Linked DNA regions of Mus musculus. The protein of the gene in region 3 purifies or fractionates together with the protein of the main gene of each other region. This does not show direct contact. Links are inferred from orthologs where the notes say so. Each region holds a gene or a part of one and is shown on either strand. Other genes may lie near its edges. The genes, in order: Magoh, Dcp1a, Upf1, Alyref, Upf3b, Stau1 and Smg7.

The links.
Region 1: the proteins of Upf1 (region 3) and Magoh purify together in Homo sapiens (affinity purification with western blotting; 3 studies listed by BioGRID and IntAct, with this or other methods). This does not show direct contact. The link is inferred for Mus musculus from reciprocal best matches to the Homo sapiens genes UPF1 and MAGOH.
Region 2: the proteins of Upf1 (region 3) and Dcp1a purify together in Homo sapiens (co-immunoprecipitation; 4 studies listed by BioGRID and IntAct, with this or other methods). This does not show direct contact. The link is inferred for Mus musculus from reciprocal best matches to the Homo sapiens genes UPF1 and DCP1A.
Region 4: the proteins of Upf1 (region 3) and Alyref purify together in Homo sapiens (co-immunoprecipitation; 3 studies listed by BioGRID and IntAct, with this or other methods). This does not show direct contact. The link is inferred for Mus musculus from reciprocal best matches to the Homo sapiens genes UPF1 and ALYREF.
Region 5: the proteins of Upf1 (region 3) and Upf3b purify together in Homo sapiens (co-immunoprecipitation; 16 studies listed by BioGRID and IntAct, with this or other methods). This does not show direct contact. The link is inferred for Mus musculus from reciprocal best matches to the Homo sapiens genes UPF1 and UPF3B.
Region 6: the proteins of Upf1 (region 3) and Stau1 purify together in Homo sapiens (affinity purification with mass spectrometry; 7 studies listed by BioGRID and IntAct, with this or other methods). This does not show direct contact. The link is inferred for Mus musculus from reciprocal best matches to the Homo sapiens genes UPF1 and STAU1.
Region 7: the proteins of Upf1 (region 3) and Smg7 purify together in Homo sapiens (affinity purification with western blotting; 7 studies listed by BioGRID and IntAct, with this or other methods). This does not show direct contact. The link is inferred for Mus musculus from reciprocal best matches to the Homo sapiens genes UPF1 and SMG7.

What each region holds. Positions count from the first base shown.
Region 1 is NC_000070.6:107,885,040-107,887,980, forward strand, and holds the end of Magoh (protein mago nashi homolog), read left to right. Parts: intron 1-2,137; coding exon 2,138-2,237; 3' UTR 2,238-2,385; downstream 2,386-2,941. UniProt on the Homo sapiens protein: Required for pre-mRNA splicing as component of the spliceosome. Plays a redundant role with MAGOHB as core component of the exon junction complex (EJC) and in the nonsense-mediated decay (NMD) pathway.
Region 2 is NC_000080.6:30,478,227-30,482,664, forward strand, and holds the start of Dcp1a (mRNA-decapping enzyme 1A), read left to right. Parts: upstream 1-1,338; 5' UTR 1,339-1,395; coding exon 1,396-1,590; intron 1,591-3,966; coding exon 3,967-4,007; intron 4,008-4,438. UniProt on the Homo sapiens protein: Necessary for the degradation of mRNAs, both in normal mRNA turnover and in nonsense-mediated mRNA decay. Removes the 7-methyl guanine cap structure from mRNA molecules, yielding a 5'-phosphorylated mRNA fragment and 7m-GDP.
Region 3 is NC_000074.6:70,330,718-70,333,717, forward strand, and holds the end of Upf1 (regulator of nonsense transcripts 1), read right to left. Parts: intron 2,716-3,000; coding exon 2,554-2,715; intron 2,474-2,553; coding exon 2,256-2,473; intron 2,026-2,255; coding exon 1,906-2,025; 3' UTR 1,903-1,905; exon of another isoform or gene 1,891-1,902; intron 1,763-1,890; 3' UTR 776-1,762; downstream 1-775. Other genes in the region: Gdf1 (embryonic growth/differentiation factor 1 precursor), read left to right, coding at 1-760. UniProt on the Homo sapiens protein: RNA-dependent helicase required for nonsense-mediated decay (NMD) of aberrant mRNAs containing premature stop codons and modulates the expression level of normal mRNAs.
Region 4 is NC_000077.6:120,595,273-120,599,919, reverse strand, and holds the start of Alyref (THO complex subunit 4), read left to right. Parts: upstream 1-1,554; 5' UTR 1,555-1,581; coding exon 1,582-1,815; intron 1,816-2,153; coding exon 2,154-2,285; intron 2,286-3,852; coding exon 3,853-4,000; intron 4,001-4,199; exon of another isoform or gene 4,200-4,312; intron 4,313-4,601; coding exon 4,602-4,647. Other genes in the region: Anapc11 (anaphase-promoting complex subunit 11), read right to left, coding at 552-660. UniProt on the Homo sapiens protein: Functions as an mRNA export adapter; component of the transcription/export (TREX) complex which is thought to couple mRNA transcription, processing and nuclear export, and specifically associates with spliced mRNA and not with unspliced pre-mRNA.
Region 5 is NC_000086.7:37,092,995-37,096,850, forward strand, and holds part of Upf3b (regulator of nonsense transcripts 3B), read right to left. Parts: intron 2,829-3,856; coding exon 2,528-2,828; exon of another isoform or gene 15-2,527; intron 1-14. UniProt on the Homo sapiens protein: Involved in nonsense-mediated decay (NMD) of mRNAs containing premature stop codons by associating with the nuclear exon junction complex (EJC) and serving as link between the EJC core and NMD machinery.
Region 6 is NC_000068.7:166,961,577-166,965,432, forward strand, and holds part of Stau1 (double-stranded RNA-binding protein Staufen homolog 1), read right to left. Parts: intron 3,142-3,856; 5' UTR 3,083-3,141; coding exon 3,003-3,082; intron 2,019-3,002; coding exon 1,853-2,018; intron 1-1,852. UniProt on the Homo sapiens protein: Binds double-stranded RNA (regardless of the sequence) and tubulin.
Region 7 is NC_000067.6:152,899,553-152,904,175, reverse strand, and holds the start of Smg7 (protein SMG7), read left to right. Parts: upstream 1-1,529; 5' UTR 1,530-1,638; coding exon 1,639-1,667; intron 1,668-4,623. UniProt on the Homo sapiens protein: Plays a role in nonsense-mediated mRNA decay. Recruits UPF1 to cytoplasmic mRNA decay bodies.

The DNA.
Region 1 (2,941 bases), on a different chromosome or scaffold from region 3:
TGGAGATTCAACCACACGAGGCCAGCAGAGAAAGATGTGCAGACATAACACAAAAGTGGATGGTGTGGCCGGGCGTGGTGGCGCACGCTTTTAATCCCAGCACTCGGGAGGCAGAGGCAGGCGGATTTCTAAGTTCAAGGCCAGCCTGGTCTATAGAGTGAGTTCCAGGACAGACAGGGCTACACAGAGAAACGCTGTCTCAAAAAAAAAAAAAAAAAAAAAAAGTGGGTGGTGTGGTCCTCCTCATAGGGGCTCCAGGTCACAGTGGTTCAGTATCATGGAAGGGTTGGTTTCAGGAATTCTGGTACTAGAGTCTTTAGTGCTTAATTTCCTTATATAAATTAGTGTCATGTTTGCTTGAAGCCTATGTACTTCCCATATAAGTCATCTTTATAAAACCAAATTCTGGGAAATAGCCGTTATAATGTATCGCTTAGGAAATGATAAGAGAAAATGTCTGAACATACATGTGACAGTTGGAAACCCCATAGACCTAACTATATCCACTCATGGCTGAGCCCACAAATGCAGATAGAGTTGGGCCAGTTGTATTTTCAGAAGTTGCTTCTTGTAGTTAATGTAGTTACTACTTCTCAGTGACATGGAAGAATAAATAGTGACAGCTGCTTCTCAGTGACATGGAGGAATGTGTAGTGACAACCAGAAGAGGAAATGACATGAGGCCACACAGTGCTGTGTGACCCTCACTGGGCGAACAGCTTCTCTGTGCTGACTGTTCGGACTAGCTCATCTTAGTCTTGGTGAAATTTGAAATCTTGCATCTAAGTTTTAAAATGCATGTTGCCAATGGTGTGACTTCTAACACTAGGATGTGATTCTATTTGCTATAAAGAACCTTAGAATTTGGCAGGCTCTCTGCTTTCTGGACACACTTGTCAGTGCTGCTTGCTACTTTAAATTTTCTTCTTCAACTCTTAGAACAATAGATGGTCATTGTAGAAAATACAGGAGCTATAGAAAAGAGAAAGGGGGAGTTCTTTCATATCCTTAATAGACAGCCAGTGATAACATCTTTTTGGTTTCAGAAAGGCTCTTATTATCTAGCTATGACTGTCCAGGAACTCAGCTATAGTGGTCAGGCCAGCCTTGAACTTTGAATAGAAGCATGTGTGTCTCCTCTGCCCAGCTCTACCTAACATCTCCACGTGTAATGTCTTAGTCTTAGAGAGCACCAGGAGCTGAGGCAGGTGGTGCATGCTTGTAATCTCCAGTACTCGGGAGGAATAGCGCAGAAGATCAGCTCACGCTGCGAACCCGAGATTGTGTTACTTACTTTGAAATACCCTGCCTTTAGGTGTGGTGTGGCTCAGCCTTAGCACACACCTGTAATCCAGGAGCTTTCCGCTTGAATATTATAAACATGATTAAGTCGACCATAGGCCAAAAGGCAGAGCAATCAGTTGACAGAGAGTGAACATAGGAAAAAACTAGAGAGTAACAGGGAGTTGGGAGAGCTGAGAGGTGCAGGACGTAGAAGGGAGGGGCATCCAGTTTGAAGGAGGAGCTTCGGAGACGCTTCTAGGACATTGGTTGATGAGGAACGTCAGCTGGGCGCTTTCTCTGCCCCTCTGAGCTTTCACTCCAGTATCTGGCTCTTGGAGGCTTCATTGATAAAACCAAACAATTCAGATTTTGTTTTAAAGAAACAACATAGGAATCTCATGATTGAGCCATTCTGATGTGTGTATATATATAACAAGACCCAGCCTCAAAAACAAACAACTTTTAGCCCCCTCACCCTGTGTTGGGGTGGAGGTAGAACTCTTTGTTTAGGTTTGTGGTACTAGGAGTTGAACATAGAGCATCTATCCATCACTGACCTGGTTTCCAGCTCTATGTATAGTTTTGTTTTAAAAGCACAAGAGACAAAATCTGTTTTAGAAATCACAGTTTTTCCCCTAAACTTTATATATTTTCACAGTAAAAACAGCATGGCTTCCTAATATATCATTTTAGTAAGTGGCCCTTGTTAATGGACATGTGCTTCCTCAGGGTTTATTACTGTAAATATCTTTATAAGGAGCATTTTTATAGTAATCGGGGTTATTAATTTTTTTTTGGTATTTGCCAGTTTTCCTCTGCTTCTTAAACATTTTGGTTTTCTTTTGTGTTTTAGGGATCCGGAAGGCTTGCGAGTATTTTATTATCTTGTCCAGGACCTGAAGTGTTTAGTCTTCAGTCTGATTGGATTACACTTCAAGATTAAACCAATCTAGATATTGGATATTGTGGACACAAGGCGGGTGGGAGTTTTTAGTTACCATAATTAGGATTTTTTTTCTGTATATTGGGGCAATTTTTATAAACAATAAATGATGATCTTTAATAAATGCGATAACATCTTTTTTTGTTATTTTTCTAAACACCTGAATATGTGAATTCTCAGTCTGTAAGATACAAACATTCTGTGGGAGACTTGACAAAGCAAAGAAAAAAACAAACCTAAGCAACTAAGAACTGCCATTTACAGGAAATGATGGGGAAAGGTTTAAAAATTCAGTGAGGGCCAAGGAGATGGTTCTGGCAGGAAAAGCTTTAATGCATAAACTTGACCACTACCCACAGCCCTGGGACCTATGCTGGGCCTGGACTAAGCCACCCAGGAGCAGAAAGCGATCCTGTCTGAGCAAGGTGGAAGGCAAGAACTGACTCAGAACTTCCACCCCTTTGCTGTGCCATGGGTGTGCGCTAGCACACACACTGCTGAATATTTTTTTCAATACATTGAAGTTGAGAACCCCATTAGCAATATTCTAGGACAAGGTACCTGGGTTTTGTTTTGACCACGCCTCCCCTCCCTTTCCTGTCCAGGATGACTTTGAACTTGGGATCTGTCTCCCAAGTGCTGGGATTTTAGGCAGGTGCCACCACACATAGTTCAACCTGGATTTTTAAGTTTCAAGGGAAATGGAAACCCTGA
Region 2 (4,438 bases), on a different chromosome or scaffold from region 3:
GGCCTCAGGAGAAAGAAGTGGCTAAATTAGGGACTAGACCTTGGTGGCTAGTGTTAGGAATAAAATCTAACAGTTTTTAGCAAGGCAGAGGGAAAAGGGGAGAAGAGCAAGGTCTGCCAGAACCTTGCCTGCCATGCTGGAACTGGTAGTGAGGTTCCTTCACTACCTTTCCTGGCTCAGATGGCAATAAGGACGCCACCCTCTGGAATTCAAAGAGAGACATCTATCATGGGGCTGTTTGCTTGCGTTTAGTTTCTCCTAGAGCCAAAAGAGTTGGAAGCTCGGAGCTGGCAACCACTCAATAAGATCAGTGAGTGTGTACAGAAGTGAAGGGTGAATAACCGATAGGCGGCTGTTCCAGCTTTTGTAGTTGCTTCACACGCGGTTCTGTCAAGAATGTAAAGTTTGCCCTTCCATTAGTATGTAAAACCACAAGCAACACAAATATGTGGGGGTACTTTGAGAAAATGTAAAGTTTATCCTTTCAAAAATGTTCATTTGTGCTGAGATGTCTTCAATAAAGAGAAACGATGGTTTTTAAAGCAACTCAATGAAAACAGCCTGAGCACTTTGCTTTACCTCTTAGTACTTCCTGATCCCTTAAAATGCCCAATAAATGTTTTCTTTTTAAAAGAGATCTACTTACTATTTTAAATAATAGACGTCTCTATAGAACAATAGAAATATTTATCTGGGACCCAGATGAGGAAAAAGACGAGCAAAAGAGGGTAGGCCAAGTCTATTGTAGTTCCAGGCAGGCTAGTTTGGCTGCTTTGAAACATTTCTTTCAAAAGTTACCAAACTGTTAAGAGTGAAGGTGCACTCTGAGGTCAGAAGTGACGGACAGCTCCCCTTCCTCATTTGGACTGAGTTTTCTTTTTTCTTTTTTTAAAGATTTATTTATTTTATGTATATGAGTACACTGTAGCTGTACAGATGGTTGTGAGCCACCATGTGGTTGCTGGGATTTGAACTCAGGACCTTTCGGAAGAGCAGTCAGTGCTCTTAAACGCTGAGCCATCTCTCCAGCCAGGTCTGAGTTTTCTAAATGGTACGTGGAGACCTCATGTCCTCAGCAGCAAGCATTTCGATTCTGCGCCGGAACCCGAGTTAGGGACTGCGCTGGGGTGCAGCCTCCCCGGCAGGAGTCAGGTTCATTCAGGGAACCGGTTCACACCCCGCCAGGTGAGAGAGGTCTCCGGACTATCAGCTCACGGCTCCACCGCGCAGGCGCGGGGGCCTGTCTCTTCCGGCAGACGCGGCCCGAAGAAAATCGGAACCAGGGCTCCTGGCGCACAGGAGCAGCGGATGAGATTAGCTGAAGTACCACGCTCGGCAAGGCTGGGCCGGTAGGCGGAAGTGGAGGGCTGACTGAGCTGGGGGAACTTTGCCTGGATGGCACTTTCCTGTTCCACAGTCCGCCCCCGCCGGAGGGGCTCGGCTCTGAGATCCAAGATGGAGTTGTTGAGTCGAGCTGAGCAAGAGATGAGTCTGGCGGCCTTGAAACAACACGACCCCTATATCACCAGCATCGCAGACCTCACGGGCCAGGTCGCCCTGTACACTTTCTGCCCCAAAGCCAACCAGTGGGTGAGTGAGGCCCGGCCGGGGACAAGGCCAGCCTGGCCGCTGCCGCCTCTTAAAGGGACCGCGCAGACAGCTGAGGATTGGGGGTGGGGGAGAGAAGCAGGAGCCCAGGACCGCAAAGGCGAGGCCGGGACCTCTCCCAAAACCGGGTCCGGAGCCAAAGAGGTGACCGGGGCACGCGGAATTGAAAGAATGTAGCGGAAGGAGTAGACCAGAGACAGAGCAGGGAAATCGGATGGAGGAGAGAAACGAGGCAGGATCAGTCTTTTTGGGTCGGTTCTCGGGGCTTGAGGTTGCATTGGTAAAATATGAGACAAGTTAATTTTAACAAGTGAGTGAAAGCCTGTGTTTGAAGACTTTGAGGACTCTTAGATACATGTACTTGATGGAAGAGTCCGCTCCTCTTTCCCTGCCGACCTAAATGTGATGGTTTGGATTTGAAGCTTTAAAAATCAGCTTCAGGAGTTAGACCAGCTTTAGTCGAACTACTCTGTATCTCTGGAATTTGAGGAAAATTTTCAAGGCTACTTCAGTAAGAACTGGATTCCTTGGAGACGTTTGCAAGAAAAAGAGACCAGTGCTAGGACCTTTGATGGCTCCCTTCTTTTGGGATTGTGTGAGTGGCATAGAGTTGCAGAAGTTACTTTGTCTACTCGCAGATTCTAGTTAACCTCAACTCGAAGCACCTGTGTACACGGCCCCTTTTCTTGTGCTCCGTTTTTCCTCATTCACTCATTGGGCTATACAGAGGTTCGGTTTTAGAACATTAAAGCTCAACACCTGCGCTGAAAACCCGAGTTAACGCTGTTGCAGCAAAAGAAAGAATACTAATGTTCGATTTTCTTGTTTATTTCTTGTAGTACAGGAACTCAAACCCAAGACCCCCTGATAGCAGGCAGGCACTGTTCCTCTACCACTGGGCTATATACCCACCCCGAGTTACAATTTCTTAGTCACATTTTCAGTTGTTTATTTTAAAACCCTACCAAATTTGCCTAAGGCAGAGAATGGTTTCTATCCATGATTCTTAACAAAGTTCTGAAAATAATAAATTGTGTTTGGTAACCGCAAAATGTGTAACTTGTGAAAATATTCCTAAATCCTCCAGAAATGAAACAAAGGATCTTATAAGAAAATTTCCCAAGGGTAGGGATTTAGCTCAATGGTGCACAGCTGTGCATCATGAGCCCCAGGCTCTGAGTTCAACCCTGGTATCAGGGTTGAAGAAAGTTCTATTCTTTTTCTATAAACTTCCATAGACTGCTTAAGTTTGTTTTGTTTTTTTATTTTGGTTTGGTTTTTCTTTTTTTAAGTTGCAGTACACAATACCTTGACTGTAAATATTAAGATACCTAATTGAAAGGTTTTTGTGTTTACAAAGATAAAACTGGGGCTGGAGAAGTGGCTCAGTAGTAGCTACGAGCATTTGCTGCTCTTCCTGAGGACCTGGCTCAGTTTTCCAGCATCCCCATGCTGGTTTATATCCATCTGTAACTCTAGTCCAAAGAGATCCAATGCCCTCTGCTGTCCTCTGTAAGCTCCACACACACATATGTTACAAAGACATATGTATGCTGACAAAACATTCCTGCACCTTTTTTAATTGAAAAAAAAAACTTAATACATAAAAATAATAAGTAAAGCTAAGTGTGTGTGTGTGTGTGTGTGTGTGTGTGTATGTATGTATGTGTGTGTTTTCCTTTAGCTGTTCCTTACTGGTGGAAATAGACATAGGCTACAGATGAAGACATATTGTTGGATTAGACATTGCATACACTTATATAAACACAGGGTTGAATGGGTACACAATTTGTTTAGAGTTTTAAAAAGTGGCATGGGTTGGGGATTTAGCTCAGTGGTAGAGCGCTTGCCTAGCAAGCCCAAGGCCCTGGGTTCGGTCCTCAGCTCCGGAAAAAGGAAAATAAATAAATAAATAAATAAAAAGTGGCTTGCTTTACCTGCTCAAAAGTGATTAATTTGGAGACTAAAGAGACAGCTCAGCGGATGAAGTGCTTGCCTCCCAAGCATGAGAGCCTGAGGCATTCACATAGAAAGCTGGGCATAGTGCTTGCACTTACAATCCCACACTGGGATATGGAGCCACTTAGGATCCAACACTGGAGCCCGCTGACCAGCAAGTGTAGCTTAATTGTCCATCTTCTGGCCAGTGAGACCCCCGACTGGAAGGAATGACACCTGAGAGTGACCACTAACCTCTACACAGTTATACACGAGCGCCGGCATGCATTCCCGAGAGCACATACACAGCTGATTCCACCGTAAATAAGACAAGTTGGCCTGAAAGTGTGTCTGCTTCAGCTGAGACCATTTGGCATTGGATTATTTGTGGAAAACTAACAGAGTTATTGTCTGTTACAGGAGAAGACTGATATAGAAGGGACGTTATTTGTATACCGAAGGTAAGTTTCTTAAGGGTGTTTCTATTTCACTTCAATGGTGATGATCATTGTCGTGTAGCATGGTCAGTTTCTATTGTGTACCTGTGTTTGGAACCTTCCTGTCTTTCTCCAGTTTTCCTTCATCCAAGCAGTGCAATCCTACAATAGCTGCTTCTCCTCTCCAAGCCTGGGAAAAGTGGCTCAGAATTTTTAAATTAATGCATCCCAAAGAGATGCCTGCCTAACGACTATCCCATGTTAAAAAGAACACATGCATATAAATGTCTATGAAAACAGTATAATACAGTGGCTATAAAGTAGTTGAGACAGCACTCTCGCTGGTCTGTAGTGTCTGATAAGAATTTGCATTCTGTGCCTGGTTCTGCCCCTGTCTGCTTCTTTCCCAAAGTTCTAGGCTATTCCTAATTCATATATATTTTACTTTAAGCTTT
Region 3 (3,000 bases):
ACAACCCGCCAGGACCTCGGGGCTGTGCCCCGAGTGGACAGTCGTCTTTGACCTGTCGAATGTGGAGCCCACAGAGCGCCCAACACGCGCGCGCTTAGAGTTGCGGCTGGAGGCTGAGAGTGAAGATACAGGGGGGTGGGAGCTAAGCGTGGCACTGTGGGCCGACGCAGAGCATCCAGGGCCTGAGCTGCTGCGCGTGCCGGCGCCACCAGGGGTGCTCCTGCGCGCAGACCTACTGGGGACTGCAGTAGCCGCCAACGCATCAGTGCCCTGTACTGTGCGCCTGGCGCTGTCACTGCACCCTGGGGCCACTGCAGCCTGTGGGCGCCTGGCTGAGGCCTCCCTGCTGCTGGTGACGCTGGACCCACGCCTGTGTCCCTTGCCGCGATTGCGGCGCCACACGGAGCCCAGGGTAGAAGTTGGTCCAGTGGGCACTTGTCGTACCCGACGGTTGCATGTGAGCTTCCGTGAGGTGGGCTGGCACCGTTGGGTGATCGCGCCGCGTGGCTTCCTAGCCAACTTCTGCCAGGGCACGTGCGCACTACCCGAAACGCTGAGGGGACCCGGCGGGCCGCCTGCACTCAACCACGCTGTGCTGCGCGCGCTCATGCACGCAGCTGCTCCCACCCCGGGTGCAGGCTCGCCCTGCTGCGTGCCAGAGCGTCTATCACCCATCTCCGTGCTCTTCTTCGACAATAGTGACAACGTGGTCCTGCGACACTACGAAGACATGGTGGTGGATGAGTGTGGCTGCCGTTGACCACCCGGGACACCCTTTCAGGGACCGCCCCACGCAAAAGCAGGGACTGTTTGTTCATGTTTTATTGGTGACAAAAAGCTTAAAACAAATTTGACTAAAAATTAAGTTCCATTGCGTTGGCGCAGGTGTGCCTGGGTAGGGGTTGGGTGGCTGCCGCGGGAGGTGGGGGTCCGGGGCAGGGCGCCCAGCAATGAGGCCTCCACCCTCGATGGGGAAGAACCCGCAGGCCGTGCTCACGAGTTCGCCTGTGGCCTCTGAAGCTCAAACTCAAAAACAAATCCTCCGGCTGCGGTGCAGGCGGTGATCCCAGGCTGCGGGGCTCAGGCTTCTCAGCGCTGCCTTTCCCGGAAGCTTCTCGCATCTCTCAGGTTTAACAGTCAGGTCTCTAGAGACAAACCGATCCAAGTACTTCCCATACTCCTTTGAAAGAATCTTTGAAGGGGGTAGGGGGGAGGAAAGGAAAACCAAAAAGAAAAAAAAAAAAAACCAAACAAACAAACAAAAAAAAAAAACCAAAAAAAAGAAAAAAAAAAGAAAAACCAGAAAAACCCCAAACACCGTATTTTCTTTAAATGAAACCCCTTAGCGCTGGGACCGCGCACTGATGCTCCTGGCCGCCCGCTTGGGCACAGAAACGCGAAGTTCGTCCTGCTAAAACGTAGCCCCTCAATCACGAGAAACAAAGAAAAAGAACAGCGGGGCCGGTCCTGGCGAGGCCTCTCCCTCTGGCGGGCACGGCGCTGGGCCGGCCTCGCAGCGGTGCGGGCCTCTCTCCTCTCGCCGCCCACAGGGGGCGCCCGCTCCTCGGCGCTCCGCTCTGTCGTCCTCCCTGGCCGCTCTCTGCTCGCTCTCGCTCCTCTTTCCTCTCCTCTCCTCGGCTGCTCACACAGTGGTGCTTCAGTTTTAGCAGTGGAAAACAGGTATCCATTTATTTTTATTTTTTATTACCCAGAATAAGATGCTGATAGACTAAGCCACATAGCTTAGCTCTTCCTCCGCTACCTGTGATCAGGGACAGGGTTAGAGGTGTCAGGGCCAGTAGAGGCAGGACCTGCCAACACACCATATCTACTTGCCCAGTCTGTCTGGGAAGACCCTGTTTGCACACGTGTGCAGAGAGCTGAACCCACCAGGGCACTTGCCTTCTAGTACTGGGACAGCCCGGTGACCCCGCCGTGCTGGTATGCCCGCTCTCCCTGGTATGTGGAGTCTTGTGAGAGTGCCACGTCAATCTGTGATTTAAACTCATCACCGAGGTAGCTGTCCTGAAAGGCAAAGGTAGTGTGAACATGGCCAGGAAAGCTAGTAGCCCACAGCCACCCAGTCCGCAGACCCGAGGATGGGAAGAAACCCCATACTGCAGCCAGAGTGGCAGGGTGACAGGTTCAGATCCATAGCAGTAGAGTTCATTCACCCTTCAGAAAGGCAGCATCATGGTCTCATGTGTCCCCTCACCCCTCCACCCCCTTTTCTCTGCTGTAGGATGCAGGCCCACCTGGGACAGTTCTGGCTGGGAGAGGCCAGGCTGGCTCATCTGAGAGGGCTGGCTCATGGACACGTAACCCTGTGTGAGGGCACCCTGTGAAAAGGGCTGGGAGGCCACGTCCTGGCTGGCCTGGCTGTTGGGAAGGGTGGTCTGGCTGGGCCCAGGAAGCCCAAAGCGGTTCTTCTGGCGGCCCCCACGGCCAGTCTTGGTTTTTGGGGTGCCCCGACCTGAAAGACAGCAGTGAAATATGGCAAGGTCTACCTAAAGCTAGGAGGAGAGCCTGGGCAGTAGAGATAAAACCGCTTACCAGCTGCCGGCCCGTTGGCCTGTCCGAAGTAGCCAGGTGGCGGCATGGGAGGCATGACCAAGTTGAAGGGAATAGGGATGTTCATGGCAGCCACGTGGCTGGGGCCTGCGCTGATCATACTAATCTGGTCATGGGTCTGGAAGTACATGTTCGAGGGCCGGCCTGCAAAACATTTGAGTCAGATGCAGGGCTCCAGTGGACACTGGCTGCCATGAACTAGCTGCTGGGCCAGCCAGACAAGTAGGGAGGTCGAGTGTGTCTTGACATGCAGAGTGCTGGTAGAGGGTAAGAAATGACAGAAGGGTTGGTGAGATCTGGCCACGATGGAACTTTCTAGACAAACTTGGAAGCTTCCAGAAAGCAGAGGCCAGCCTAGCTGAGGTAGACACAGGTTTGTTGCAGGATACAAGGGCAGCAGCACTCAGGCAGACAGGTGGCCTTAGCAGT
Region 4 (4,647 bases), on a different chromosome or scaffold from region 3:
TGCCTCTCAAATGCTAGTATTACAGGTGTTTGCCATCATGCTGGATGGGGTCTTTAGACAAACCTGGGCTTGAAGTATTCTGCTTCTTTTTTCTGTCGACTTTCCCCTCAGATAATAGAAACTAAAACCCACAATTTTTTGTTTTTGTTTTACCTGGTCTTTTATCAAGTCAGGGCTTTTCTTTGTAGCCCTGGTTATCCTGGAACTTGCACTGTTTGGCTTTTTGTTTTTGTTTTGTTTTGTTTTTTGTTTTTTTTTCAAAACAGGGTTTCTCTGTGTAGCCCTGGCTGTCCTGGAACTCCCTCTGTAGATCAGGCTGGCCTTGAACTCAGAGATTCACTTGCCTCTGCCTCCAGAGTGCTGGGATTAAAGGCGTGCAACACCACTGTCCGGTGGGGTTTCGGTTAGGGTTAGGTAACTTGTCCTGTTGACCAGGCTAAACTCAAACTCAGAGATCCTCCAGTCTCTGCCTACCCAGTGCTGGGAAACCTAGGGATTTTTAGGCTGGTGGAGTAGGCTAAAGTTCTGAGAGCGCATAGGAAGACACTTACAGTCTGGACAGCAGCCATTAAACGCCATCCTGCAGATGCCGCAGTTCTCATCATTGGCTACCCAGAGCCAAGTGGCCACACCATTCCAACATTTAATTTTCACCTTCATGACAACAGAGCCTGTGACCTGAGGGAAGAGGATGACCTGGAGTTAGTACGGAATACGAAAGCACCTAAGCTCAAAGTCATGGAGCTGCGGCAAGTGCTGCACTCGTCAAGAACGGCATCTTCCAAAATTCCGTGCGTCCCGACCAAAAAGAAAGAAAAAGGCACGTGTTTGTCTTTAAAGACGGCAAGGAGAGCCTGTGGGATTAATGGCACGAGTTTATTTTGCCACCTTTAAGGATGCCTTTAAAGATCTGCACTCATGTAGTCTGGCACGGTGGCACACGCCTCTAATCCCGGGGCAGAAGCAGATCAGCCAAACAGGAAACGAAAACAAACAAAAAAACAAAAACAAAACCTCCGCATCCACGCAAAACATTGGTTTTCACTAACCAGGGCCTCGCTTTTAAAGATATGGAAAGAGTGACTGTCACTAATCCGCGAAGTTAAAGCAGGGGTGAGGACGCCAGCTCGTCAGGAGACCGAGCCTTCGAGCAAAAACAACCAAGTCGGACCCACGGACCGGCCGGGACCCCCACGATCGCACGGTGAGGAGGGACGCGGGACGCGCACACTGCGCTGCACCCAGGCGACGCCCGAGGATCTTCCGGCCTCCCAGGGAGGCGCCCGCAGGCCCCGCCCCCTGCTCGCCCTCGCACCTCCGCGGCCTAATCACGAGGCGCCCCGCCCTTCCGTTGCCTCCGCGCGGGAATGTATAAAAACGACCGCGCCGCGTCGGGCTCCTCCGAAGTAGCGCCAGCCACCGCGGCGAGCCGTACGCAGGCGCTCTGCGGAATCGCGCGCGCCCAGACCAATCGCCGCTCGCTTCGGGCCCGCGACGCCGGAAGGCAGGGGGAGGCGCCGGAAGTGACGCCGCGGCGTGCTGACGCGCGGGCTCGATCCGAGGCCCGAATCCGCGCCCGCCATGGCCGACAAAATGGACATGTCTTTGGACGACATCATTAAGCTGAACCGGAGCCAGCGAGGAGGCCGCGGCGGGGGCCGGGGTCGCGGCAGGGCCGGCTCCCAGGGCGGCCGCGGCGGCGCAGTGCAGGCCGCCGCGCGGGTGAATCGAGGCGGCGGGCCTATGAGGAACCGGCCCGCCATCGCCCGCGGCGCCGCAGGCGGCGGCAGGAACCGGCCGGCGCCGTACAGCAGAGTGAGTGCGGGGACCTGCGGCGCGGGCCGGGGAGGGTGCGCCCGGGCCGGCCGGGACCGGGTGAGCGTCCCGCGCGGGACCGCGGCCGAGGGGTGGGCGGGGGCGAGGCCGTCCCGAGGCCAGGATCTTCCGGGACGCTTTGTCCGGTCGTGGTCCAGCCTCGTGGCGGCGGGGGCCGCTGCGAGAGAACTTGGGTGTCCGTAGCGGAGCGGCGGGGCTGGGGGACTCTCGGGGCTCCTCGACCTTGGCCGCGGGGCCGACGGGAGAGCGTCGCCGAGGTGTCGCGGGCTCCCGGGACGAGTCTCACGAGTGTCTCTGTGCTTACGGTTTCTCTCCAGCCGAAACAACTTCCCGACAAATGGCAGCACGACCTCTTCGACAGCGGCTTCGGGGGTGGAGCCGGCGTGGAGACCGGCGGGAAGCTGCTGGTGTCCAACCTGGACTTCGGAGTGTCAGATGCTGATATTCAGGTAGGAGACGGGAGCTCTCCGCTTTCCTCGTCCCACGCGGACGTGGGCTCCAGGATCCTTTACAGATTGGAACCTGCCCTCCCCTAGGCTGCCCAGAGCCAGCCACTGTCACCCTGAGAGCCTTGGCCTCAGAAAAAGTAGGGTTTGAGCACGACCCCATAAGCCAGGCTGCAGGAAGATGTCACACACTGTGTGTGTATGTGTGTGTGTGCGCGCGCCCCCCTAAAAATGAGTCCTGTCTGCTGTCCAAACTGTGAGCGCCTGCCCTGTGCCAGAGCTTACAGTTTCTAACCTGCACAGACTGGCCACAACTCCGGTCCCAGCATGACCGAAAGGTGCTTGCTTCTCAGATTTATGCTCGATATGGTGAACTGATAGGAGAAGGAAGTCCAGCATCTCCCAGATGCTGAGAAAGGTGGCTGAGAGTATCTTCCAGCCTGCGTCTCTGTGCTGGATCTTAACTGGCGATCTTTCCTGGGTCTTACCTGGGTCATGGTTCTCCATGCCTTCGAAATATTTTTTTTCTCTTCCCCTCCCTTCTTGGATTTTGTGTCTTTTTAAATTTCTTTATAAACTGGACCTCAGAGGCATTTAGAGTTCTCTGGTTACAAGGCATAATTTTGGGAATTAGCTTTGATATAGCCAGAACTGAGTCAGGTGTGCTGGGCCTTTCTGGGTACCGTTCCCCAGAGCCCAGCTGTTTGACCTCCCCATGGGAGAAAAGAACAAGGCTGGTGAGCACTCACAGTGTCTCAACACTTCTTTTTTTTTTAAGATTTATTTATTTATTTTTATGGATTTGAGTACAGTGTCACTCTCTTCAGAGACACCTGAAGAGGGCATCAGATCCCATTATAGATAGTTGTGAGTCACATTGGTTGCTGGGAATTGAACTCAGGTCCTCTGAAAGAGAGCAGCCAGTGTTCTTAACCCCTGAACCATCTCTCCAGCCTGTCTCAACACTTTTTTTTAAAGGTGGTTTCTGGCATCCACTGGAAACTGCTTTAGCTAGCTGTACTCCCCACTGTGTGCCTGCAGCTGAAGTGCCTTACTCTGTGGGTTCCCTCTCCAACTCCCAGCCAGGACAGGTTCCATGCTGCATTTCACTTCAGACTTGGCAGCAGCAGGCAGTAGGAGGAAAGGGGAAGGTGAGCTAGAACCTGCCTTTGCAGTAGGGGCTGTGTCACAGTTCCCCAAAATACTGGGCCCTTTGCGTTGTCTGCTCAATGGACAGTTTTACTATTGGCCTCTGGTATTTAGTGAAACGCAGTTAGTCAAGTTGAAAGTACCCCTGCTGAGAGAGAGTTTTGTAGTTTTGTCCTGTGATAGGACTTTGTGTCTTCCCTCATCTACAGCATGGTGTAATTACATTGTCCCACAGTGGACAGTAACCCAGTTGTTCGCGACAGTTGCTGTCTCCCCTTCCCTCAGCTCTTAATCTCCACTGCCTTGCCTTCTTCCTGGGTGGCTGTCAGTCAAGTACCTCTAAAGCATAAGGACTTACAGCAAGTGTTGCTGAGCTACAAGAAGGAAATTGGCTTAATTGCTAATTTTTACCCCTTCCCAGGAACTCTTTGCTGAATTTGGGACATTGAAAAAAGCTGCTGTGCACTATGATCGCTCTGGACGAAGTTTAGGGACAGCAGATGTGCACTTTGAACGGAAAGCAGATGCCCTGAAGGCTATGAAACAGTACAATGGTGTCCCTTTGGATGGTGAGTCTGGGACTGGGCCCTGGATGCCTGTGGGGCGTGTGGAGTTTGGGGCTGGCACCTCTCCCTGTAGGAATCTGGGCTGCCCCCCCCCCCTTGGCTGAGGATACTTTGCATTTGCCCCTTTGTCTCTCTCTTCCATTCTGCCACCTCTCATGCTGCCCCACACATCTGGACCAACCTCTTGTGAACCCCCATCCAGCAAGCTACATCCCTCCCCTCCTTGAGCTCCTTCCGGAAGATTCACTTCTGTGAAGCCTTCTCAGAACCGCCATAGTACAACCTGAGTGCGGGGCTGTAGTCGTAAAGACAAAGGTACCTGTTCTTCTTCCGTCAGGTCACCCACACCTGTCTGCCCATGAGCACCCTGAACACCTGACCAAACAGCCCTCCTAGCCTGAACTGAGAAGGAGTGAGGAGGTGTTGGTGGGGTTATTATTATTGCACTTTATTTTCCCACCAGGCTCTCCAGGCCATTTACCTTGTTGGGGGCATTGGAGACACACAGAGCCCTTTCCAGAGCTTGCATGGAGATCAGGGTGTGGTGCCCTCTGAGTCAGCTTCAGAGCCTCTGGAGTGAGACTTCTTGTGTTCTTTACCATAGGCCGCCCTATGAACATCCAGCTTGTCACATCACAGATTGATACACA
Region 5 (3,856 bases), on a different chromosome or scaffold from region 3:
TAATATCTCCTTACCTCAGCCTCCCTGGGATTACAAGCTGTCACCACCAGCTCTAGCTGCTGTCACTTTACTTGAGACAGGATCTTTCAATGTAGTCTAGCAGTCCTGGAACTTCCCATGTAGACCAGGCTGGCCTTGAGCTCACAGAGATCCATCTGTCTCTGCCTCTTGAGAATGCTGGGATTAAAAGTGTTTAGCACTATGCTCAACCTGTAGTCATTTAAGAATTACTTAACATGCCAAGGGTGATGTTTTGAGAAGTCTATTGCCTAATTTTTTTAAAGATTTATTTATCATTATATGTAAGTACACTGTAGCTGTCTTCAGACACACCAGAAGAAGGCGTCAGATCTCATTTCAGATGGTTGTGAGCCACCATGTGGTTGCTGGGATTTGAACTCAGGACCTTCGGAAGAGCAGTCATTGCTCTTTACCGCTGAGCCATCTCTCCAGCCCCTCTAAATTTTAAAATAATATTTTATTAATTCTTTGAGAATTTTGTACATGCATATAATGTATTCGCCTAATTTTAAAACTACCTCAAGATAACCTAATTTATAGGTATTAGGTAATAAGAATTAATTACCCCTAATTTTTTTAAACTTAGAAACTACAAGAACCAAGGGCCAAGCTGTAGCTCAGTAACAGAGTGTTTAATACATTCAAAGCCAGGGGTTAGACAACTGGCCTGGGGGGGTGTAAGTCACTGGAGAAACTACAACTACATGCCTGTGATTCTCTACCAGTAAATCGCCTTTTGTGGTGGGAGAGGGAGAACAGGGCCTAAAGTAGCCTAGGCTGACCTCCAACTTGAAATCCTCCTTCAGACATGGGCCACCATGTCCCATGCAATAAATTCATTATAAAAATCTAAAACTACACAAAAATATGTTTAAGTTTGGCTTGATTTAGCTCAGTGGTAGAATTCTTGCCTAACTAGATTTGGGTTTGATCCCTAGCAAAAAAGAAAAGATCTGCTTGCCTTACAGAAACCCACCTGCTTCTGCCCCTGCGTTCTGGGATTACAGGTATACACCATGCCTAGCCTTAAAAAAAAAAAAGATTTATTTTTCCTTATTATTTTTTTAACTGTGTGGGGAAGTAGTATGCATGTGTATCTATAAGTACATGCAGTTGCCCACAGTGACTGGAGTTATATATGTCTGTGAGCTGCCTGACATGGGTACTAGCAATTGAAAAAATAAAAAATATTCACCCCTTAACTGCTAAGCCATCTCTCCAGCCCCAAGTGTTGTTATTGATACAGGGTCTCTTTACATAGCCCCGACTGTCCTTGGATTCAAGTAAATAGACCAGGCTGTCCTCCAGAGATCCTCCTCCATCTGCCTCCCAAGTGCTAGGATAAAAGCTGTGTCCTGCCATGCAAGCTAGGCCAGCACTTTTAACTACTGAGAAACACACTCAACCCCAAGCTCATTTTTATATATTACCCATGTCTATTTCCTTAAAGAATTTAGCTGTTGTGACAGAGACTATATGGCTCAGATAGCCTAAAATATTAGCAGCTGTTTTTCCAAGATTTGACTATTATTTTCATTTAAAAATTGTTTAATTATAAATTTTTAATGCTGTGTTTTGAACCTATGGTTCCATTTATGCTGTTGTCTATGACAGTACTAGTGCTTAAGTAGTAATTATAAAAGAAACAGAATATATATGTTCAATGAGATAAAGAAGTTATAATTTGCCAATGTACAGTCTGAGAAGATTCATAGGACAAACTGGTTTCTACAACAAACAATTATGTATCAGGGAAAAAAAAGATTGTTTAGATCAAAATAGAATTCAACCACACACTATGAACATTGTTCATGGCCCTTATTTAAAAAGACATTAATGATGCAACTGGGAAACTCTCACTAGGAATAATTAGGATAGTAAGAAATTACCTTTGAAGCTGGGCAGGGTGGGGCATGCTGCTAATCTCAGCATTCAGGAGGCAGAGGCAGGCGGAACTCTGTGAGTTCAAGGTCAACCTGGTCTACAAAATGAGTTCCAGGACAGCCAGGGCTACAAAGAGAAACCCTGTCTTGAAAAAAAAAAACAAAAACAAAAAAAGAGAGAGAGAAAGAAAGAGAACAGAAAAAGAAAAACAAAAAAGAAAAGAAACAAAGAAAGAAATTACCATTGGGCTGATGAGATGGTTCATTGGGTAAGAGGACTTGCTGCCAAGCTTGACAACCTGGGTTCAATCTCTAGAACCCACCTGGTGGAAGGAGAAAATGGCTCCCACAAACTGTCCTCTCACCACTATTCATGCACTGGACATGTATGCACGTGTGCACACTCATGTGCACACATGCAAAAAATAAATACATAAATTAGAAAAAAAGAAAATGAAAATTCCACAATAGGGACTGGGGATGAAGTTCACTGGCAGAAAGCTTGCAATGATTCAATACCTAGTGGGGGTGGGGATAGGGCACATTCCTTTAAATTTATCCTTCTAAGAATAGGGGGGGAATCCTCATAAAAACAACCAAGTTTAATAAAAAAACAGCAGCACCTTGTTCCTTATGCGGTCTCTCTTAACCACTTCCTCTTTTTTTTCAATTTTTTCTAATGAGCATATTGATTCTGTATTCTCACTCTTCTTTCCTTTATCTCGAAGTGCCTCTTTCTCTCTCTTCATTTCTTCTTCCTTTCGCTTAAAAGCCTTCTCTTTCTCATAGCGTTCTTTCTGCTGCTGCCGCCGGCGCTCTTCTTCTTGCCGCTTCAGCCTCTCTCTTTCTCGGATCATGCGCTCCTGATCTCTCTCATAGTCCCGGTCCCTGTCTCTGTAATCTCTGACACCCTCGTCATCGAGCCTGTGTGAAAAATAAACAAGAGGGCTGGAGACACCTTTCAGTTGATAGAGTGCTTTGCCTAATGATGTGAGAAGTGCCCAGGGCTCCGAGAGCCTGTCTGAAAAACAAGACAAGACAAAATAGAACGGAACAGAAAACAACGGTGAGGCCAAACCTTCACACATCCTATGATTGCAAATACGGAAACACTGTGGTTCTAAGTTGGCCATCTTATTGAGGGTGCACTTTTACAGCTGAGGAAAAAGTAGGAGTTGTTTTAGAAAATAAGAAAAACCAGAAGTCAGGGCTGGAGGGCTGTCTCATAAGTCAAGAGTCTATTTCTTTTGCAGAAAACCCAAATTTGGTTCCCAGAGCCCATATCAGGTGGCTCACTGCCGCCTGTAACTCCAGCTACAGGAGGATCTGACACCGTTGGCCTCCTTGGGCACATGCACAAATAGGCACACCCAAGACAGACAGACAGATACACACACACACACACACAAAATAATAGAAATAAATAATATTTCTGAAAATAATAAAAATAAATCTTTAAAAGGAAAAAAAAGACAGCGGTCATTCATCTAGCTGGAGACACCAGAATATTTGAAACATATGACCCTCCTCCCTCTACTCCATATAAAGCAGCTCCTTTTTTTTTTTAAATAAGAGGTTTTTTTTTAAAAGATTTACTTATTTTACTTATTTTATATATATGAGTACACTATAGCTGTCTTCAGACACACCAGAAGAAGGTATTGGATCCCAATACGGATGGTTGTGAGCCACCATGTGGTTGCTGGGATTTGAACACAGGACCTCAGTAAGAGCAGTCAGTGCTCTTAACCACTGAGCCATCTTTCCAGCCCAGTAGTTCATTTTTTTGAGAAGGTCTTGCTATGTAGTCTAGGCTGATCTTGAAGCTACCCATCCTCCTATCTCAGCCTCCTGAGTGTTACTGCAGGTTGTGTGCGCCATGACAAATAATTTAATTCCATACAAGTCCAGGACACGGCGGCATCTGCATTAGTGGCCCGGCTCTCACTGCT
Region 6 (3,856 bases), on a different chromosome or scaffold from region 3:
CAACAACAGTTTGCTTCCTTCCCAGCCTGAGCTCCCTTACCCACTGGCTTCCCCAGCATCATGCAGCCAGGCTTAGATGCTTCCTTACCCCTCAACAGCAGAGCTCTGGCCTTCTCTTCTTCATGTGCTTGCCGCCCTGCCCAAGCTGGACCCAAGGGACAGTGCTACCTCAGCCTCCTAAACAGCCACCTCTCCCTGTCCCTTATGGCTGCATGGCTGCTTTCCTTGGCTAGTTCTTAAAGCTAATCTTCCCTCCAAGTGCCTTAGAAAGCTGAAGACCTACAAAGTTTGGTTTGAAATTTGACTGTCTATGAGGGAGCCATGCCAGCTGGTGCCATCCATAGGCTGCATCCACCCTGGAGATAAGTCTCTCACTGGCATGAAGCTGGTCAAGCAACTACCAACAGTCATCCTAGGAATTACTTACTCAGGCTGGAGAGATGGCTCAGTGATTAAGAGCACTGACTGCTCTTCCAGAGGTCCTGAGTTCAAATCCCAGCAACCACATGGTGGCTCACAGCCATCTGTAATGGGATCTGACGCCCTCTTCTGGTGTGTCTGAAGACAGCTACAGTGTACTTACTTATAATAATAAATCAATCTTTGGGCCAGAGTGAGCAGAAGTCCTAAAATTCAATTCCCAACAACCACATGAAGGCTCACAACCATCTGTACAGCTTCAGTGTACTCATATGCATAAAATAAATAAATAAATTTTTTTTTTAAAAATTACTTACTCTCCAGGCACAGGAAAACAAAAAAAAAAAAACAAACAAACACAAAAAAACCTGTAAGATTCCTTTTCTACCCTGTAGTTTTAAATCACAACCCATGGCTAATAATATTAGCATTAACCTTTAGCAGTAGCTAAAACAAACAAAAAGTTCCAAATTCTTCAACACCTTCTTTTCCACACTGTGAGTGCCCTAGAAGCCACTGGATAATGCTTGTACTAGAGTTGAGAGTTCATCTAATGTGGTCTTTAATAAAAGAACACACAAAGGTGAGTCTCCTTATCTCCTTCCTTTAGCTCTGGGACTGCCTAACCTAGAAACCATGACAGAAGCCAGGCTGTGGGTTCAGAGAATTGGCTTTAATAACTGGCTTCCTTTTCCTGTCTATAAGGATTCTCATTCTTGAGATGCAGTCACCAAACTGTGAGGAGGTACCAACAGCCCCTGTAAGAGGGACACTACCCAGAAACTACGGTGCCCTGTCAGGAGGAGCCATTTTTCTACTAAGTCCTCCCAAGCTGGTGACGTCCTGGTGAGCTTCCTCTGCCAGCAAGCCGCCACATCTAGCCCTGCTCAAGCTGCAGATCTTTGAGTAAAATACATGCACCATGTTCTAGGATAACGTGCTAACAAAAGACTAAAAGCATTTCTACAGAAAATGGTGGTGGGCTGAAGGTCACAAATACTCTTAATTTAGCACCACAAATCATGGCTTCTAGCTGGGCGTGGTGGCTCACAGGTTTGATTTCAGCACTCAAGAGGCAAAGGCAGGCAGAGCTCTGTGAGTTCAAGGCCAGTTTGGTTTACATTGTGAGTTTAGGCCAGCCAGAGCTACACAGGAAAAACAAAAAACAAAAAGAACACCAATCAGCAGCTCCAAGAGCATAGGTGTCAGCACTGAGAATCCGACACTCACAACTCAAGAGCCCCGGCCTTCCCACACCCACCATGTGCTCTACACTCCATTGCCAGGGGAAAAGGAAAGGCCATTTGCTTTCCTGCTGAGACATTTAGGGGACACTTTCCCAGTGACAGAATCTGGATTAATTACCCAGTAGTACAGACAGCAGCAGCACCTTGGAAGTCAGTGAGGTGTCTCAAGCTCGCGTCCACCTTACCTCCAACCTTTCTGGCAGGGGTTCACTCTGCAGAGTCCTCAGCGCACGGGCAGGGGCATCGTGTTTCACGGGTGGTCTCATCTTTCCTTTCCCATTAAACTGCTGTCCGCCCACGGAGAGCTCAACTTGGTAGAGTAAAGGTGGGACTGGAAATGGGTAAAAGTATCTACAAACACAAGGGTAGGGTCTCAGTCTCCATCTCCTAAGTCAGCCATACTTTCTTCAGCAAACCCCACTCTTTGTGTACTCTGGCCTTGTCACCGTGCTCATAGCTAGAAAGACCTCCTGGTCAGCTCTACAAAAGCTGCCCTAAAACTCATATGATCTACAGCTGCCACACTGTGACTAAGCAGAGCGCTAGAGTCACACTTACTCTAGTAGCTGACACATGCTATGTACGCATCTGATGCTCCACAATAGGCCATACTGACAGTGCCTGAATGAACGCAGGTGCTGGCCGAGACAAACTTAGCTTGCTTTCCTTTCTCAAGCCTTCAGTGTGCACTTGCACATCTCTCAAAGAGTCTGGGAATTTTAAGGGTGACGTCTTTTGGAAATGACCCTCATTTTGGAAATCTCAGCAGCACCAAGTCCAAAAGAGTCTGGTTCCTTCTACTTCAAAACCTGTATTTTTGAGGTTTTGCCCTCCTGCACCTCATCAGAGGATGGGTGGAAAATGAAACAGCTGCCTCCATCACTGATCTGTTCACTAATGTCTCACTCCTGAAGCAAAGGTTTGAACATACAACAAGAGTTTATGTAGCCCAGGCTGGCCTGGCTTCTACTTAGCAGATACTCTTTCTGCTTCCACCTCTGGAACTCTAGGGTTATAGGCCATCTGCAGCCACTTTAGGCTCTGACCCTTCTGAGCACTATTACTTAGTCTCAGCGTTGCACAAAGCACAATGTCAGAGAAGACTTTCAGGAGCATGTGCTGAGGAAACAACGTAGCCAGACCATGGGTGTGAATGCAGCTGCTCCTGAGCAACCTGCTTGGGCCCTCTGCAAAGGCAGTAGGCTTCAACAGTCCCAGCACAGTACCAAAGGCACACCTTAAGTCCAGAGGTGAACCTGAGGCAGACCAAATCATTCACAATTCATAGAGACTACTTTAGGGAAAAACCCAACTAATTCCACCCCAAGCACATACCTGGGGGGATAGGCACCTCCACGCATGCCATAGCTGTAGGTGGACTGCATCCGAGAGTGAGGGTCCACGGGCTTATACATTGGTTTTCTTTCCAGTTTCACACACAGTGCATTGAGCTCAATGGTAGAAGCTATACTTTCTGCAACACAAAATCATACAAAGGATGGTTCAGGCCCTGGACACTGATGCTAACAGCCAAGCACTCTACCCCTGGACATCCATCAGGAAATCCAAGAATCCACACAGTGTACAGAATCACGGGAAAAACCTGGGTAAGTTGAGGGAAGTGGATGTCTAGAGGAGGCAAATGAGGACCAGAAAACATCCAGATATCTCCAACCTAACATTACAGTGGGGCTGAACCATGGTCACAGATGACAGGAAACCCAGTTTCATTTTCATATACATCAACAGGGAACTTTAACCTCAGAATTGATGACTTGAGAAAATACAGACTAAGACTGGAGATAGGGCTCAGCAGTAAGAGCACTTGCTGTCTAATCATAAAGACTAGAATTCAGATCCCTACATTGACACAGCAAGGTCCCACACATGTCTGCTACCCCGGCTCTAACAGGACTGCTGTCTTCCAACCTAGCTGAGAAAACATGAGCCCACATTTTAGGAAGAGGTCCTACCTCTAAGGAATAGGTGGAAAATTTCATGAGAAATCCCAGTGCTGTCTTCTGAACTCTATACACAGCACACACATCTGCACACATGTGTATACACACTCACAGAAATACACACACTACTCATCTTCTAATTTGCTCTCTTAGGTCATCTAATTCACAAACCTTCACAAACCAAAACAGCTCGAAAGATTATTGTCATGGCATAACCCACATTTTAAA
Region 7 (4,623 bases), on a different chromosome or scaffold from region 3:
CCCTCATGCAGATAAATCTAGATACTTTTTTTTTATGGCAAGTTCTAAAACACTGCAGATGTTTTTGAGGAGGGGGTCTTTGGAGATCAACCTTCGATGACGGAGCGTCTTTTCTCTCTGAGGGTACCTCTGGAAAGAACGTCATCAGCCTTTCTGATCGCTCTCCATTCTAAATGCCTAAGAACTGCGTGTTAGCCTCCTAGGCTGGGTTCGAGCTCTCACTAAGTCGCCTACGGGAGGTCTCGCCGGTGATATCGAGTAGGAATTAGGCAAGGGTCGACCGGCTACAAAAAGTCGAACATTCGCGATCGCCGGAGCCGCATCTCGGTTGTCATGTGCCCGTCTCTTCCCTTAGGGACCCGCTTCTGGCGGGATCCCGCTGCCCAGCCTCAAACAGTGGTGGGGAAGCCCCTTCCCTTTCCTCTGACTTCGCAGCATCGCCCTCGCTTTCTCGTTCCCACCCACTCGCCGCCGGCCTTCATAACCTGCCTTTTCTTCTCGGGCCCGGCCCTCTCCCTACCCGGCTCAGATAGGCAACGATGGAGGTGGTTTCCACCCTTGGGGGACTGGCAATGCCTAAAATGAATGCTTCGGGGTCTCCCCCAATTTTTGCTGGGAGAGTAAGGGAGGAAGAAATGGACTTTCCTACTCGGATAACCATTTCGACTTCTGGCTTTTAAAAAGGCAGGGAATCCAAGTGGGGAATCCTGGGCAGTTTCCAGGGAACCCGTTTCTCTACGGGAGGGTCACCCTGTCTACACACGGCAGTTACTATGACAATACAACCACAGCCTCCAGTTTCCATGGCAGCGGCCTGCCCAATCGGATTGGTTTTCCTTTCTATTTCTCCCTGGGCTCCGCCCTATTCCCCCCCCCCCCCCCAACCTTCTCCCAGAGTGCCCGGGGAGGGGCGGCTGAAACGGGGGAGGCCTCTGCGTCACTCTCCGGCGCGCGAGGGGACGACCGGAGTCGAGGAATTGGCGGGCGGAACTGTAGGAGGAAGGGGTGGCGTTTCCGGCGGGGAAAGTGGAGGAGTGGGAAAAAAAAAAAAAAGAAAGAAGGAAGGAAGTGAGAAGTGGGCGGGTGGCCGGGCGGAAGGCTTTGAGTGTGACTCCGGGCTGCTCTGGGCTCGATGTCCGCGGTGAGCCGGGGGCCGCCCCCGCGCCCGGGAGGAACAGGACGGAGCCTTAGGAGGCCGCCGGGCACCAGCACCGGATCGTTCGGCCGGCGCGCGGGCACCGCACCGCTCGCCGATCCCAAGAGGGAGCGCTACAGAGCGGCGGAAAGCACCCAGAGGGACCGGCGCTGCTGAAGTCTCGCGAGAGCGAACCCGACTTCCTTCCTCTGCTTCTCCCCTCCTCTTTCCCCGCCCCTTTCCCCTTCTTTTTCCCCCCCCCCTCCGGAGCCGGAGCGTCCCTGCGCCCCACAGGCCAGAGCCGCAGCCGCTGCCGGAGCCGCTCCCCCCAACTCCCTCCCCCTCGCCTCACTCACTCTCCCCCCCCCCCACCCCGCGCCAAGCGAGGAGGAGTCGGAGGAGAGGAAGATGGCGGCGACCGCCAGCACCCGCGGGGCCGCGGGGCCGCTCCGAGGAGCCTGAGAGACCCACGGAGGCTTCGCGGCGAGACGCGGCGGCGGAGGATGAGCCTGCAGAGCGCGCAGTATCTCCGGTGAGCGCCGGAGCTTGGCCGAGGCGTGGTGGCGACGGGGGAAGGGGAGGCTCTCGGGGGGCCGAGGACCGGCGGACTCGGAAGCGGTGGGGGAGTCGCGGCGTCCTTCTGTCCCCAGGGCGGGGAGGCCGAGCGCGGGGCCGAGCGGGCGGCTGCGGGAGGGGGCGGGCACACACATGGCTGCCTGGCCCCCGGGAAGCCGGGCGAGCCGCGCTCCGGGGGAAGCCGGGCGAGGAGCGGAGGGAGGTTGGGGAAGCGGGAGACGAGAACGTGTGTGTGAGTGTGTGTGTGTGCGTGTGCGCGCGCGCGCGCGCGCCTCTGGTCGCAGGCTGCGGGGCCGGGGTAGGGGAGAGGAGAGCCGGCAGCGACCCAGAGTCGAGGTGGGTGTGAAGGGGTCTGGAGCCCACGGCCCGGGAAACGTGGTGTGCTGGCCGGGGCGATGCAGGAGAGAGGAGGATGGAAGTCGGCACACCTGGGGGTTGGGAGGGCGCATTCTGGAGGGCAAATGAGAGGAAGGGGAGCCCGCAGGAAACGCGAGCTTGTTCTTTAGTCGCGGGCTGGAAGGAGGAGAAATAATGCCTTCTGTCCAGAGTTAGAGGGGTCGGAGAGCCCGGAAAGGGGGAAAAAGGATGGGGAGACGAGGGAAGAGGGAGGTGCTACGAACAAGGTGATGTTCTCGAAAGAAACTGTAGTTGGAAGATACCATTCTGAGAGTCGTGTGCATTCATTAGGTGCGATGTAAGGAACTTGTATGAAGGAGATAGAGTGACCCATGGGTACTGGGGGTGCGTGCGTGTGTATGTGTATGTGTGTGTGTGTGTGTGTGTGTGTGTGTGTGAGTGTCTGGGGTAAGGGAGGGGAAGCAGGGATTGATGCACACTTAAAGAAGACTCACATGCATTAACACCGACGTCGAGAACATTTTGAATGGAAAGACAGCAGCTGGTGTGCAGTCAGAATAGTTTGACGGATTTTGAGTGAGAGCTTGGAGGAAACTAGAGGGGAAAATACAGCCTTCACAATGGGAAATAAGGTTGCTAGTGCCTGAGGCTAATGGAGGAGTTGCTAAGACTGGGAACTTACAAACTGGCCTTTTTGTCTTTCAGGAACAGTGTTTTTCTTTTAAATAGCAGGTCTTATTTGGGAAGATACTTTTAAAAAGTGAGTTGAAACCTTGAGGAGAAGAGAATTGAATGGGTAGATAACTGAGTAAGATTTTCTTTAGCTGTTTAGACATAAGTGATGTGGAAGTCGATGTGTTAAGAGTGGTCCCATATATATATTTATATTGCAAGAGAATTGATGTTGTTCTGTGGTAAACAGAGTGGCTATTCTGTCTTTGAAAGTAGTTATTCATTACACTGGAGAGAGAGTGGTGGGATCTCTGAATCTTTGATGCATGAATTCCAGAGTTTAGCACAATGTGTATGCCTGATATTATAAGGTGGCATTCTCTTTTTTTTCCTCTGTTACCCTTATTACTGCATTAAGTAAACTTTACAGTGAGCTGTGAATATATAGGTGCAGTAGAAAAAAATAGAAACTACCAGGACAGTTCTTAATCTTAAGGAAATTACATGATAATATCCAGTGTGTGAGTAAATTAATAGCACAGACTAATGTAGCTATCACCACAAAAAGGTACCATGTTTTTGAGTCCTAGATGACCTGAGCAGTTGAGGGAAATAGGAAAGGCTCTCTTTGTTCATCTGCTCTTTCTACTCCTATGATTCATTGATTGGTTGGTTGTTCACCTGTAGGTAAGGCATTGTACCAACTGCTAAGAATAGAGAGTAAGGACTCCACCCTCTTACAGAACTTACTAGTTTGTTAGGTTTTAGAAGAAAAGAACACTTAAACTTTTATAAGGATGGACTCTTCCTGACAGCTGTGGATTAAGAAAGGGAGATTCTAAATGGAAGGACATAGATAATAAGGAAATGGAAGGGGGAGTGGTGTTTGGTTAGGCAAGAATGCTGGAGGGCTTGAATGGAGTTTAACTTTTTTCTTTTGCAGATTAGGAAGGTGAGTCCAAAGAAGCTATTGAGGATCGAATGGCTGGTGTGTAAAAACAAATTCAAATGCTTGTCTTGTAGCTTCATGTCAGCTTTCTGTGCTGCATATCTATGCTCATTCTTTGCCCAAGTGTGAACTGAGGGCTTTCTATAATCTAGGAGCTGAGACTTCACTGGTGAAACAAGGGTGAGCATGGGGTAGTCTATCTTGATAGAAAGTCAGTAAACATGAACAGATAAATACACTATAAGGTCCTTTGAAATGATAGAAAGGAAAATAAGGCCGTGTATTTTTATATGAACACAGGAAAACCTATTCTGTAATCTGATGCTAGAAGGGTCTTAAATTTTATGATCTTTAGTTTATAGATAAAATAAGTAGACATCAGAAATATTATGATGAGGGATGGATAGAGATAGGAATATAGCTTCATTTGTAACATAGCATGCTTGCTTACCCTGCACTAAATAAAACTGAGTATAATAAAGTTCGCCTGTAATCCTATCATTCTGAAATAGGAAACAGGAAGATCAGAAGTTCAAGGTCATCCACTATTTAGCAAGGTCAAAGCCACCTGGGCTTCATAAGGCCCTGTCTCAAAGAAAGAAATCTGAGATGACTTGTTAAAAGGCAATTTGTAAGCCCGGCTGTGGTGGCACACGCTTTTAATCCCAGCGCTTGGGAGGCAGAGACAAGCAGATTTCTGAGTTCGAAGCCAGCTTGGTCTACAGAGTGAGTTCCAGGACAGCCAGGGCTACACAGAGAAACCCTGTCTCGAAAAAAACAGCAACAACAAAAAGGCATTTTGTAGGTTTACAGCTTTGAGAAAATTACTGTGTCATAAACTATGTGGACCTTTAGTGCTTGAAATAAGGTCTTGGCAGTTGGAGGATTGTGATGACAAACTGGAAAGTGCTGATACTTTTAATGCAGAGATAGC